2 linked regions of the Xenopus tropicalis genome follow. Each later gene encodes a partner of the first gene's protein in a complex. Links are inferred from orthologs where the notes say so. Each region holds a gene or a part of one and is shown in the gene's direction. Other genes may lie near its edges.

Region 1 (7,493 bases):
AACCAAATGAAGACCTGAACAGGAACAGAACATTCTATAACATACTAAGGGGCAGATTCATGAAATAACAAGTTCGAATCCCGAATGGGATTAATTCAGATTGGATACGAAAATTTCTGAAGAACTCAAATATCACAAAAATGCTTACAAAAAAATCGTATTTGTCACGATAATAACCTATTGGCGATTCAAAAGTATGTTTACTATTATTTGCAAATTTGCATATATATATGAGTGGGGGCTACCATGTTGCTTCCTGCTTTGGCTTTCCAATGTTGCAAGTTTCCTCCTGCAAGCAACTTTGCCCAACTTCAGAAAGCTGAAGCGATGTGTTGGCCTTTCCACCAGTGACTAGGCCCAGATTTGTGGCAAGGCCCCGGGTCTAGGGCGGCCCAAATTTAGAGGCGGCATGCCACCCAGCAGCACTGAAATTTTGCACCCATACAGAACCAAGGGGATGGGACGTGCAGAAACTTTAGCGCGTCCTCTCCCCACTGCTCCGTATGCGAGTTAAGTGGTGCGCATGCGCGGGGGGAGGGGGTGGGCAGGTGGCGAAAGGGGGCTAGCTATTCTCAAATCCGGGCCTTCCGGCGACACTTAGGGGCACATTTACTAATCCACTAATCTGAATCCTGAATGGGAAAAAAACGGATTTGAAACGAAAATTTTGCGAATTTTTTCGTCGCTGTCGCGTTTTTTTCGTATTTTGCGCAATTTTTTCGCCAGCGTCACGACTTTATCATATTTTGCGCGACTTTTTCGTTGCCGTCGTGATTTTTTCATATTGAGCAATTATAAACGGCGGAAAAACCAATCCGATTTTTTCGCGACGGCGGCGAAAAAGTTGTGACAATTCGCGAAACAGTCGTGACGGCGAAGAAAAAATCACAAAAAATACCAATCATTACGGAAAAAATGCATTCGGGCGCTTTTCGGACGTTCGTGGATTAGTAAATGTGCCCCTTATTGTTACCGGAGGAAAGGCATTTTGTAATGGTTAGTCGCCAAAGGTAGCAGTGATCTATTGCGATTAGAGCAACTCGTTATGTGGGTCCTTAGCCCCCCCTCCCCCCAGCAAACCAGAGGTATAGCTTCATCCCAGAGTAGTAGATTGTCTCTGCCTGGTCACTGTATACATTTGTCCCATAGCAATGCCACTGAATAGCTGCACAGAGGGCGCAAAAAGAAAAAGGAAAAAGTGTATTGCTCTCCTGATAAGATAAGCAGCAGCCTGTGCAGACTACTCACTGCCCATTCTCCCACTGGTTTAGTAATAGATCAGTGGGGGCTGTCAGACAAACTATCTCTGTTTTAAGACCACTAGATTCCCCTGGACTAAAAGCTCACTACTTTCTTATTTACATATATGAGACTGTCTATGCCTGTTTTCCAGTACCAGTAAGTCCCAGACAGGATTCCCACAGCATCTGAATGTTTTGTCTTTAGCTGAGCCCTGCGATTGGAGCAGCACTTACCAGGGCTACTATGCCATGTATCTACTTCCAGTGATGAGTGTCACAGATTCTTCTGTGCTCAAACTACAAAGTGGGCTGTGTACAAGAAGGGGAGTAAAAAGTACTCCAATCCTTTTCACAATAAATATGAAGTTGGCACTGCATTTATATACTGCTATGTGTATTTGAGTATTAAACATCAAGCTGGCATTTGTATACTGTTATGTGGGCATTAAATGTGAATTAATTTGACACTGCATTTATAATGCTATGTGCCAGACATTGAAAAATGAAGTTTCCATTGCATGTATAATTTATAATATACTGCTTTCTGTATTGGCAGCCATTATACATTAAGTTGGCGCTGGATATATATCATGCTATGTGTATCGGCAGCAGAGTGATATACTTTTTCTTGGGGCTTGCACTGTACAATAGACAGTGCACAGGGTGACAAAATCTGGGCACCCCTGAGCTCAGGCATTATCAATTACTTTATGAGCAATAGTACTATTGATGTGCAGCCATAACACACTAAGCTTTAATGCAGTGTATGAAGAATGTTTCAGAAAGTATATATAGTTTACTTTTTTGGTTGATCATAAATAATTGTAAGGTGCCATGTAGACTGTAAAATTTGCTATTGGCAAGAAATGGAGAGTTCCCTAATGACATATTATTGAGAATAAAGAGCAGTTGCTACATTTGCAAGTGCTGTGGTTCATAAGGCAACCATTCACCTACAGTGCTGGAGTCACAACATGGAAGGGGGCAAGTTAGACATTTGCAGCCCTTACACAAGCAGGACTATATTTGGAGCAGTTCATCTACAGCAAACAGACCCTATTGCTCACATGGTAGTGGCTGGCAGAAGTTTAAAGCAATTGCATGAGTTGCAGAGCTACAGGTGGCTGAAGGACTATGGCCCATGGGAGGGTAGAGGTGCCTGCTGCTAATAAAGTGGGAAGAAGAAGCAGTGAGAGAGAATTGCTGTCAGTGTAGAACCAATCCCTCCCTCCTGCCTGCCCCTGAGCCGGCTGCTCTCCCCTCCCACTTGCCGGCTCCCCCTCCTCTATACTGAGCTCTCTCTAGCACTGAGCTGCACTCGCTGGAAGATGGCGGACTGCAGCACACTGCTGGATGAGGAGCTTGAGTCTTTCGTCTTTAATTATCTGACTGACAGCCCGGTAAGGAGCCGTGGGGGGAGAGGAGACATGGCTTTGCCTGAGCTGCTCTGCAGGCACCTATTGATGGCATGGACAGAGCCATTTATTACATCACTGACAGGGTCTGTGCACCCTAATCTTTTTGTACCCCATTTGCATGCTCCTCACTTGGCATGGAGGCAAGATTTAGGCGCAGATCCCCAACCCTAATAACACTGGCAATAATTGCACTTCAAGTGCCCACATGCTTGAGATGCACCCTGCTGCTTCACTGCAGTAATATCCAACCTGCTACCCTCCAGAGCTAATGCTGGACTACATTTCCCAGCATACCCCTTAACAACCTTTAAATGATCAATGGAAATACCGGTAGTCTTTCTATATACTGGAGAGCATGCTAGTCTGTATGAAGCAAATGTGGCAAGTGAAAGTTAGAAGACTGTTTTTTGAAATTCTAGTTTTACTCTAGTCATTATGACTTTAAAGATCACCCTCGCCCTGAAATGCTGCAAAAACTTTGAGGTGCTATTAATTGGCCAAGAGGCCCTTTTTAATGCCCCCCCACCCCCCTTGCTACCATGTGGAGCAGCCCAGGGCAGCATGTTCTAGGTATCCAGTGTATGGCTGGAAGACTCCACTGCAGAGAAAACTTAAGGTTGGGGGGTACCCCATTGATTCAGTGTAGGAGTGATGGGACCTGGCTCCTGGGACACGTGAATAGAAAGTGCCCGGCTTGCCCATGTGGTGTTCAGCACTCAGCAGGATGTTGCATGTGGAGCTCGGAGAGGGGGCGTGGAGCCCAGGCTGCTCCTTCTGCCTATGGGAACTCAGATCTGCACTGGAAACTGTATGATTTTACATTTTGTAGTGTGATTGAACTAAAATGAGAAATGTGTGTGTGCTTAGTGGGAAGCGGATAGCGTGCAGCAGCAGTCCTGCTTAACCCCATGCTGGCAACTTAGCAAACCTGTGGAGTAAATGGTTAAAAAAAAAACCTTCTGTCTGAAATTCTGCACATCTCCTTTGTATGGGTTCCTGTAGAATGGATTTGTATTGGATGTCTGATGTGGAGTACAAGGAATCAGCAGCTGAGAGCACAGTTGGAGTGATTATCAAGCCAGCTATTATAAAACACAGGAGCTCTGTGCCTGCCTCCTTGCATTTGCTCTTAGGGTCAATAAACTGCGCAGTTATAAATCCATATACATATTAACATATATACATAAATAGGCTCCTCTAAAGTAAGTAATGTATGTCTTTTAAGGGCTGTATGTATCATTACAGAAGTGGCGTGGATGGCAAAGAGTTAAATGGCATTTGTAATTCGCTACACACCAGCAGGCGGTTAAAATATTACAGTATAGGAATGGTGCCGCAAAAGCAGTTTAATAAGTGAATAAAAGTAAAATAAGAATGTGCCTTTGTACCTCGGATGCAGATGTATTCATCCTTAACCCTTTATTGCCTATGCTAATCCCCAGAGCCAAAGTGCGTTGGTCGATCTGTACTAGCAGGAAGCAGGTCTGTGCAGTACAAAGAGCAGCACTTCCAGATCTGCTAAAGGAATCCACTGTTCCCTAATAGCAAGCCATGCTTAGAAGTGTGCGTGTCTCGGGGCTGGGAGTTTCATAACCGCAGTCTGCTGCTTACAAAACAGGAGTATTCTGGGCATGTGTGAGATGCAGCTTCACTGATGGCTATTATGGGCAGGGAGATCTCTCATTATTGACATTGTATAATGGATAGCGGTGGCCAAGCCTGAGATAAAATCTTCACTGAGCTAGATTGATCAGATTACCAAGTTTTATCAAGCACATCCAATAAAGAATATCTCTTACATAAGATCCCTTACCCACTAAGGCATAATTAATGCAGGTTTGTGCAGTGCATATTCTATGAGAGATACAGTAGGGATTATGTTATCGGGGATAGGCAACCTTCTGTACTCCAGATGTTGCCAAGCTGCAACTTGCAGGGGATGCGCATCTGCTGTCATGCTAAGGGTGCCAAAGATATTGGCAACATGAGTGGCTGATTTTATAATTGTGTTTTGCACTTTGCTTGGAATAATGTCAGAGGATGTTATTAATACTATATGTTCTGTGTTGTCCGATACCACAGGGGTGTGTGACACAAGTGTAACCCTCTTAATGCCTGGAATTGTTGCATTGCCTGTGTGATCCAGATCTGGCTGGCATTCGCTCCTTTAAGCATAGTGTTCACGTGGCGTGCTTTGCGCTACTTGAATTGCATATGAAGTCAGATTGATACCTTAACTATCACATTGCCTCCCCACCCAAAAATAATGTTCTGTGGAACAGTTGTTGAATTTAATTGGTGCTTTTGCTGATGCAGCAGAAAAAAGGTGTGTTATAATCAGCACTCAGAGGAACAGACAATAAGCCTTTTCCTCCCCTGGGACCCACACCTCAGGAGGTAGCATGGCCCAATAATTAACCTAAGATATTTCGCTGTGCTGTGCAAACACTTCCTTAATGAGAACCCTTAATTCCAGCCTTATGATGTTCATAAAAAATTGATTGTAAATTGCAATCCTATCAGGGCCAAGAATTATTGATAACTAACGTAGCCCTATAAGTTCTAGAAACTGCAACCCAGGATAGTGCTTTCTTTTGATATTGATAAATAGGCCCCAAGGCCCTCTGGTACAATGTTCTTTGGCTCATTATTGAGGTGGTGTTTGCTTAGCAATGACTGCTAGTAGTGAACAAACTTCAGTCAAGGTGATGAGAAAGTGACTGGAGCTAAAGGTGTGCCCTTTGCCTTCCTCTACTGCTATGATATGACACCAGGAATGAATGCTGATAAAGAAAGTATAAAGGGTGCCCTCCCCCCTTTTACACTCAATTCTAGGAACATGTGTTTTTTCTTTTCTGCTGCCTTCAGGTGACATTGGTTTAAACTTTTGCCAGCCTCTACCATGTGAGCGATAGGGTCTGTTTGCTGTAGATTAACTGCCCTAATATAGTCCTGCTTGTGTAAGGGCTGCAAATGTCACTAGCACAGGGGTTTCTAACCTGCCCCCTTCCATGTTCTGACTCCAGCACTGTAGGTGAATGGTTGCCTTATGAACCACAGCACTTGCAAATGTAGCACCTGTTCTTTATTCTCATTAATATGTTATTAGGCTGTCTCATAAGCGCCACACTACTTTAAATTTAATGATATGGGAATCATTAGGGAACTCTCCATTTCTTGCCAATGGCACATTTTACAGTTCACATGGCGCCTTACAATTATTTATGATTATCAAACAAATTTAGACTATATATACTTTCTAGACAGCAGCATCAGGGTGGGGGTGTGAAACCCTTTATGAAACATTCTTCATACACTGCAGTAAAGCATAGTGTCTTGGCTGTTCATCGATAATACTATTGCATTTATTTGGTTTTTAAACCACTGCCTAATTGCTAGGGTAACTTGGAAAACAGCAACCAGATTGCTGCTAAAATTACAGGCTTAAGGCTGATACCACACATGGCGTTTTTATGCTGCATATTTTCTCAGCCTAAAAACGCCACACAGCCCCTGACTGGCGTTTTTCAGCCTAGTACTGGTGACGTAGCAAATCCCTTTTCCCATGGTGCTATTAGTGCGAAATAGTAAAAAAACGCAGCGTATTTCCGCTAGGTCTGGCAGCTGCCTTTGTGTATACATAGGAATAGGCTGCTGTGCAAATAACGGCGTATTTCGGCAAATACTTGAAAAATTTGTGGTAAGGCGTTTTCTAGCGTATTTACGCATTGTGTGGTTTCCTTCGAGTCTTTTCAAGTTATTTCTATGGATGATGATATTGTGCGTTTTTCAGCCACCGAGAGAATTAGAAAATACGCAGTGTAAAAACGCCACGTGTGGCATCAGCCTAAGTGCTGCTGGACAAAAAGCGAAATCATTTCAAAACATTATAAGTAAAGACCAATTGCAAACTGTCAGAATATCACAGCCATAATACTAAAACTTAATTTGAAGATGAACTACATCTTAAAACAGTAAAATCATTGTTCCTGTGGGACAAACAGTCTTTGCTGCTTATTTTACTTTTAGTTATAAGTGGTTTAGAGATGCAAGTAAAGATTGCATGACTGAGCATACAAAATAAGTATTAGACCTGCTGTGTGTGATTGTGCATATAATGATGTAAAATAGCTTGAAAGCCACCTATGGGCAGTTTTATCCGAAAGATCCACTAGTTTTATTACTATTTGAACACAGTGAACCTATGTGCTGAAGAGGTATTGCAAACACTATAAACATGGGTCGTGGTTGCAGGTTTCATTTCCAGTCAGAAGAATAGAGTTAAATGAAATAAGATGGCGTACAATGTCTAGCTCCTATGGAGATAACACTGTATAAAGGTCACATGGAGCAATAAATCTCTTACTCATAAACCTCATTGTCACCATGAAAACTTAAGTACCAGATTAGATTTTTTTATTCCTTTTTTTTTTTTAGAACTAGAGTGCCTCTGTTCATAATAGCAATTTACATTCACTTGTACGCCACTGAGCATATAATGGGTTAAATCATTTCTTAAAAAGCCCATTAATGCTTGATTTCATAGGGAAACCAGGCCCATGCATGAAATGCTAGGTGTGAAATAGGATCTGGGAAGCAATAACTGTTTTTTGCTCTCAGTGGGAATACTGAAGGTACCTTGTAGAAAAAGTGTTGTCACTCTATCAATGAGAAGTTACACATCTGTGATGCTGCTGATTTTCATTTGAAATAAGACTTTTGCGCTATGCTGTTCTCCTTAGATGCTGGCTAAATGTGAATGCTGGGAGCTGTAGTTTAGAGTTTTATTTCTACTTGGATCATCAGGGATATTCTTGTAAGTAATTTTTGTGAC
Region 2 (7,695 bases), about 41 Mb from region 1:
GACTGAGGTTCAGACAAACAAATTAACCCTAAATCCCATTTCCCTGGCAGGACGGCTTTTCCTGTTTGGCCAGTTGTGCCCTTTGTAACAGGCCGGGCTCAGCGCCGGGCGGGATTGGCCGTTTATCAGTTACACATTGATACGAGGGCCCGTGGGGTTGGGACCTTGGCACCTGATTCAGCACTCGGCTTTGCCCCAACACTCGTGACTTTCTGTGTCGTCAGTCAGAATTTATAAATGAGAATGGGGGGGGCGGTTAGGGGATGCTGGGAATTGTAGTCCAGTGGCTGTATATAAACAGGAGCTGCCATGTTGCTTCCCTGATGCAACCTGTACAGGCAAGTAGGGCCAGTAGTCACATTATTCCTCCATTGTTTAAAGGCCAAGGTCCCTGTTGATCCAAACGACTGAAGGGTAAAATTGTAACAAATTCTGACAGGTGGTTTGGTGTCCTGCCCCGGGGTATTTACTGACCGCTAAATAGAGCTTTGTGGGAAAGAGAGAATGAGTTTTGCCTTTAAATATTCAATGCTGCCCCCCCTGGGGCAATAAAAATGCTTCCTTTGATGCTGGAACCTTATGGAATACTTACTTACCTACCTACCCCCATACTGTACTGTCTGTATGGCACCTCCTACCCATATGTATAAATACAAATATACAGAGAGGGAATGTTCTGGGCACACAATAAGCTGTACCCCCATACTGTACTGTCTAAGGGAAACACTATGGCACCCCCTACCCATATGTATAAATACAATATACAGAGAAGGAATGTTCTGGGCATACAATAAGCTGTACCCCCATACTGTACTGTCTAAGGGAAACACTATGGCACCTCCTACCCATATGTATAAATACAAATATACAGAGAAGGAATGTTCTGGGCACACAATAAGCTGTACCCCCATACTGTACTGTCTAAGGGAAACACTATGGCACCCCCTACCCATATGTATAAATACAAATATACAGAGAGGGAATGTTCTGGGCACACAATAAGCTGTACCCCCATACTGTACTGTCTATGGGAAACACTATGGCACCCCCTACCCATATGTATAAATACAAATATACAGAGAGGGAATGTTCTGGGCACACAATAAGCTGTACCCCCATACTGTACTGTCTATGGGAAACACTATGGCACCCCCTACCCGTACGGTTACTGCCCTGGCTCGGCCTATGAATTGACAGAATTGAGTAAATACCCAGTGACAGGCTCGTTTCTGGGCCCCGGGGCCAGTGAGTGATTATCGGGGCGACGCTGCAGGAAGGCCCCGGGTTCAATAGAAAGTAAAGCCCAAACATCTGTTTCGCGTTGGGAGCCAATGGGACGCGGATTAGCGTAAGGTCTTTACAAGCCGCGCACTCAGCGTCTCGGTGATTAAAATGGGATTAGGGGGCATAAAAGTTTATGCTTGTTGGTGTGAGGGGGTGGCGGGGGGGCAGGTAGAAAGGTAAGCGGCCCTGGGGGCACAGGGTGACCTCAGTTGCCCCATCTGGAATTTAAAGGGGAACTTGAAAAGAGAAATGAAGGGGCTGCGACGGTCCCTGGACACAAGTAGAAGATGCCGGGAGTTGTTACAACCTGGGCGCGGCTCCTTTGAGCTAATGTTATAGAATGGCCCATTCTTAGCAACTTTTCAATTGGTCTTTATTATTTATTTGTTATAGTTTTTGAATTATTTCCCTTCTTCTACCACAAATGGGGGTCACTGACCCCGGCAGCCAAACCCTATTGCTCTGTGAGGCTCCAGTTTTATTGTTATTGTTACTTTTTATTCCTTATCTTGTCTCTCGTTCAAACCACTCCCTGGTTGCTAGGGTAATTAGGACCCTAGCAACCAAATAGCCGCTGAAACTCCAAGTGAAATAGCTGCTGAACAAAAAGTGAAATAACTAAAAAAAAACTACAAATAATAATAATAAATGAAGACCAATTAGAAACTGCTTTGCTGAGGTCGCTCTCCCTATGGTTGTTGGGGTCGCTGTCCCTATGGTTGTTGGGGTCGCTCTCCCTATAGTTGTTGGGGTCGCTCTCCCTATGGTTGTTGGGGTCGCTGTCCCTATGGCTGTTGGGGTCGCTGTCCCTATGGTTGTTGGGGTCGCTGTCCCTATGGTTGTTGGGGTCGCTGTCCCTATGGTTGTTGGGGTCGCTGTCCCTATGGTTGTTGGGGTCGCTGTCCCTATGGTTGTTGGGGTCGCTCTCCCTATGGTTGTTGGGGTCGCTCTCCCTATGGTTGTTGGGGTCGCTGTCCCTATGGTTGTTGGGGTCGCTGTCCCTATGGTTGTTGGGGTCGCTGTCCCTGTGGTTGTTGGGGTCGCTGTCCCTGTGGTTGTTGGGGTCGCTGTCCCTATGGTTGTTGGGGTCGCTGTCCCTGTGGTTGTTGGGGTCGCTGTCCCTGTGGTTGTTGGGGTCGCTGTCCCTGTGGTTGTTGGGGTCGCTGTCCCTGTGGTTGTTGGGGTCGCTCTCCCTATGGTTGTTGGGGTCGCTGTCCCTATGGTTGTTGGGGTCGCTGTCCCTGTGGTTGTTGGGGTCGCTGTCTCTGTGGTTGCCGGGGTCGCTGTCTCTGTGGTTGCCGGGGTCGCTGTCTCTGTGGTTGCCGGGGTCGCTGTCTCTGTGGTTGCCGGGGTCGCTGTCTCTGTGGTTGCCGGGGTCGCTGTCTCTGTGGCTACCTTAAAGGGGAACTACACCTAAAAACTGTTCTTTGGGTTTTTTTAATGCAGAATCATATCTGTTGGCTTAATGTTGCCTTTATATCTGTTCCTTGGCGGGGGCCGTGCCGCGTGGCGGTTGGTTAATGATTGCATGCTGAGCTCTAATGATTAACCTATTAGCCGCCGCTAATCACTCTCACTGGGTGTCTCTGTCAGTCAGCGACGCTCTCTTTCCTCGCAGCACGATTTAACCCTTCCCTGCCTGGGTTTGGCTTCTACTCACTTTCTCGCTGAATCAGCAGTTTTTGTGTTTTTTTCATTTGTTTGTAGAAACCTCATTCCCGACCCAGCGGAACGGAATTCCCAGCAGCGCGATCGGCACAACCGGAATGTGCCAGGAAGCGTCTTATGGCGGCGCCGCCTCATTGGCCCAGAAACGATAGGATGGCGTGATTCCCGGAACTGATTGTTATGGGAATTGTGTGTCACGCCTGGAACAGGTTGGGAATGACTGTCTCTTCCTACTGTCTCTACCTTGCCCTACTGTCTCCATCTTGCCCTACTGTCTCTAACTTGTCCTACTGTCTCTAACTTGTCCTACTGTCTCCATCTTGCCCTACTGTCTCCATCTTGCCCTACTGTCTCTAACTTGTCCTACTGTCTCTAACTTGTCCTACTGTCTCCATCTTGCCCTACTGTCTCCATCTTGCCCTACTGTCTCCATCTTGCCCTACTGTCTCCATCTTGCCCTACTGTCTCCATCTTGCCCTACTGTCTCCATCTTGCCCTACTGTCTCCATCTTGTCCTACTGTCTCTACCTTGCCCTACTGTCCCCATCTTGCCCTACTGTCCCCATCTTGCCCTACTGTCCCCATCTTGCCCTACTGTCCCCATCTTGCCCTACTGTATCCATCTTGCCCTACTGTCTCCATCTTGTCCTACTGTCCCCATCTTGCCCTACTGTCCCCATCTTGCCCTACTGTCCCCATCTTGCCCTACTGTCCCCATCTTGCCCTACTGTCTCCATCTTGCCCTACTGTCTCCATCTTGCCCTACTGTCTCCATCTTGCCCTACTGTCTCCATCTTGCCCTACTGTCCCCATCTTGCCCTACTGTCTCTTACGTATAACTGTCGCCCCCACTACACGCAGACAATCAATCAGTCAGCCCCATGTTTATAGATTTCTGTGTGGGTTTCCCTGTACAACAGTTATCCCCCCCCAGCACAAGCTCCGCCTCCTACATAAGCCAGTACAGCCCCCTGCTGGCAGCCCCTGGGAATGCGCAATACAGTAGCCAGCAGTGATGTCAGAGGGGAACTCAGTTTGCCGTAGAATCCCAGAATACAGTCTGCTAAAGGGGTGGGGCATACCTGATTGGGCGGGGTTATACATATATCAGGGGCGTGGCTACACATAACTCGCTCCACGTGAGGGTAGTTTCCCGACATTGTGAAATTGTTGCTGACTCTGCACTTTTCTGGGCAGTGTTTGGCCGTGAATATTGATTCAAACGCTGTTTTTGTTATTTTTTTTAACACCATTTAGTAAATTGCAGAGAACTTTTCTTTATCAAACTGGTCTTTCCGGTTTGGGAGGGGGGACTCGACCCGGGCGGTTGTGTTTAACTCATTTATCTGTGGGGGAACAAGGGGAAGGGGCGGTGGGAGGGGCTTCTCTGGAACAGGTGGGCTTTTATGTTGCGTGGGAATGCAGTCCAGCAGGAACGGCCTGCTGAGCCCTAACAGCCCACTTGTCTTCTTCTAAGTTCCCCTTTAAAGTGGCAGCTGATTATTGACAGATCCAGTCGTTGCAGTACCGCCTCTCACCACTATCAGCCAGTGGCCAGTGTTTCTCATTGGGCCCCAACAGAACAGCGCCACAGGCTGAGGGTTTCTGTGGTTACGCCGGTGTAACAGGTTTCTATTGGTCGAGTCAAATCTCCCCTTTAGGAATCTGCCTGTGAGTGACCTTGGAGAGCTTTATCTCCCGGCCGCCCAGTTTGCACAACCCTAATTAGCTAACGAGCCCCTCCCCCGCAACAGGTGGAGCACAATAAGCTTCTACCTTGGAGTCATTAATAGAAAAGCTAAAGATAGTTTAACCCTTTGGCGGGCGGGGAGATTCTCATTGTCACATGGGTGCGAGCGCCCAATATAACTGCTTTGTGTTGTGTCTTACAGGTTGGACTGATGCAGCTTTCCTAATAGTAACGTCTGAGTAACTAGTGAGTATGTCTTCTACTGTACTGGGAAACACTATGGCACCTCCCACCCATATGTATAAATACAAATATACAGAGAGGGAATGTTCTGGGCACACAATAAGCTGTACCCCCATACTGTACTGTCTAAGGGAACACTATGGCACCCCCTTACCCATATGTATAAATACAAATATACAGAGAAGGAATGTTCTGGGCACACAATTAAGCTGTACCCCCATACTGTACTGTCTAAGGGAAACACTATGGCACCTCCTACCCATATGTATAAATACAAATATACAGAGAGGGAATGTTCTGGGCACACAATAAGCTGTACCCCCATACTGTACTGTCTAAGGGAAACACTATGGCACCCCCTACCCATATGTATAAATACAAATATACAGAGAAGGAATGTTCTGGGCACACAATAAGCTGTACCCCCATACTGTACTGTCTAAGGGAAACACTATGGCACCTCCTACCCATATGTATAAATACAAATATACAGAGAAGGAATGTTCTGGGCACACAATAAGCTGTACCCCCATACTGTACTGTCTAAGGGAAACACTATGGCACCTCCCACCCATATGTATAAATACAAATATACAGAGAGGGAATGTTCTGGGCACACAATAAGCTGTACCCCCATACTGTACTGTCTAAGGGAAACACTATGGCACCTCCTACCCATATGTATAAATACAAATATACAGAGAAGGAATGTTCTGGGCACACAATAAGCTGTACCCCCATACTGTACTGTCTAAGGGAAACACTATGGCACCTCCTACCCATATGTATAAATACAAATATACAGAGAGGGAATGTTCTGGGCACACAATAAGCTGTACCCCCATACTGTACTGTCTAAGGGAAACACTATGGCACCTCCCACCCATATGTATAAATACAAATATACAGAGAGGGAATGTTCTGGGCACACAATAAGCTGTACCCCCATACTGTACTGTCTAAGGGAAACACTATGGCACCTCCCACCCATATGTATAAATACAAATATACAGAGAGGGAATGTTCTGGGCACACAATAAGCTGTACCCCCATACTGTACTGTCTAAGGGAAACACTATGGCACCTCCCACCCATATGTATAAATACAAATATACAGAGAGGGAATGTTCTGGGCACACAATAAGCTGTACCCCCATACTGTACTGTCTAAGGGAAACACTATGGCACCCCCTACCCATATGTATAAATACAAATATACAGAGAAGGAATGTTCTGGGCACACAATAAGCTGTACCCCCATACTGTACTGTCTAAGGGAAACACTATGGCACCTCCTACCCATATGTATAAATACAAATATACAGAGAAGGAATGTTCTGGGCACACAATAAGCTGTACCCCCATACTGTACTGTCTAAGGGAAACACTATGGCACCTCCTACCCATATGTATAAATACAAATATACAGAGAAGGAATGTTCTGGGCACACAATAAGCTGTACCCCCATACTGTACTGTCTAAGGGAAACACTATGGCACCCCCTACCCATATGTATAAATACAAATATACAGAGAAGGAATGTTCTGGGCACACAATAAGCTGTACCCCCATACTGTACCGTCTAAGGGAAACACTATGGCACCCCCTACCCATATGTATAAATACAAATATACAGAGAAGGAATGTTCTGGGCACACAATAAGCTGTACCCCCATACTGTACTGTCTAAGGGAAACACTATGGCACCTCCCACCCATATGTATAAATACAAATATACAGAGAGGGAATGTTCTGGGCACACAATAAGCTGTACCCCCATACTGTACTGTCTAAGGGAAACACTATGGCACCTCCTACCCATATGTATAAATACAAATATACAGAGAGGGAATGTTCTGGGCACACAATAAGCTGTACCCCATACTGTACTGTCTAAGGGAAACACTATGGCACCCCCTACCCATATGTATAAATACAAATATACAGAGAAGGAATGTTCTGGGCACACAATAAGCTGTACCCCCATACTGTACTGTCTAAGGGAAACACTATGGCACCCCCTACCCATATGTATAAATACAAATATACAGAGAAGGAATGTTCTGGGCACACAATAAGCTGTACCCCCATACTGTACTGTCTAAGGGAAACACTATGGCACCCCCTACCCATATGTATAAATACAAATATACAGAGAAGGAATGTTCTGGGCCCACAATAAGCTGTACCCACATACGGTACTGTCTAAGGGAAACACTATGGCACCCCCTACCCATATGTATAAATACAAATATACAGAGAAGGAATGTTCTGGGCACACAATAAGCTGTACCCCCATACTGTACTGTCTAAGGGAAACACTATGGCACCCCCTACCCATATGTATAAATACAAATATACAGAGAAGGAATGCTCTGGGCACAATACCCAGAATAACAACGCAGTGTTTCTGTTCCTTTCCCCTTTAGTGTGATGGTTTCGGGCCAGACTTGCTATGTCCGCCATCATGGTAGACACAAACAGCGAGTTGTGCAATTTGACCCCTTTGGACGAGGATGACCTAGAGAGCCCATTATCGGGAGAGTTCCTGCCGGACATCGGGGACATTCAGGATATCACTGAGACAATCGGGGACGATGGCTCCGCGGCTTTTGGTGCCTCCGAGTATCAGTTCTTGGGGAACAGTCCGGGGTCGAATGGGTCCGTCAGCACAGACCTTACGGGTAAGGGCAGGGAATGGGAAAGTTACAGATCATTGATCCCTATGGGGCAGTTTACATGAGAAGGCGCAACACTTGGGGTTTGGCAGCATGTTAGTAAGTACCCAGGGATCCCAGGAGTTGTTAGG

What was found. The genes of interacting proteins can lie anywhere in the genome.
Region 2: the proteins of ppargc1b (region 1) and ppara are in contact, whole or in part, in a crystal structure (PDB 3SP6), measured with the Homo sapiens proteins. The link is inferred for Xenopus tropicalis from reciprocal best matches to the Homo sapiens genes PPARGC1B and PPARA. Residues at the interface, in NP_573570.3 of Homo sapiens: Ser154, Leu155, Leu156, Gln157, Leu159, Leu160, Leu161, Thr163; in NP_001001928.1 of Homo sapiens: Val284, Thr285, Thr288, Glu289, Lys292, Phe297, Leu302, Asn303, Gln305, Val306, Leu309, Pro458, Leu459, Glu462, Ile463.

Annotation. Positions count from the first base shown.
Region 1 is NC_030679.2:43,953,352-43,960,844, forward strand, and holds the start of ppargc1b (peroxisome proliferator-activated receptor gamma coactivator 1-beta), read left to right. Parts: upstream 1-2,539; 5' UTR 2,540-2,569; coding exon 2,570-2,641; intron 2,642-7,493. UniProt on the Homo sapiens protein: Plays a role of stimulator of transcription factors and nuclear receptors activities. Activates transcriptional activity of estrogen receptor alpha, nuclear respiratory factor 1 (NRF1) and glucocorticoid receptor in the presence of glucocorticoids.
Region 2 is NC_030679.2:3,227,588-3,235,282, forward strand, and holds the start of ppara (peroxisome proliferator-activated receptor alpha), read left to right. Parts: upstream 1-2,876; 5' UTR 2,877-3,161; intron 3,162-4,844; 5' UTR 4,845-4,888; intron 4,889-7,315; 5' UTR 7,316-7,341; coding exon 7,342-7,570; intron 7,571-7,695. UniProt on the Homo sapiens protein: Ligand-activated transcription factor. Key regulator of lipid metabolism. Activated by the endogenous ligand 1-palmitoyl-2-oleoyl-sn-glycerol-3-phosphocholine (16:0/18:1-GPC). Activated by oleylethanolamide, a naturally occurring lipid that regulates satiety.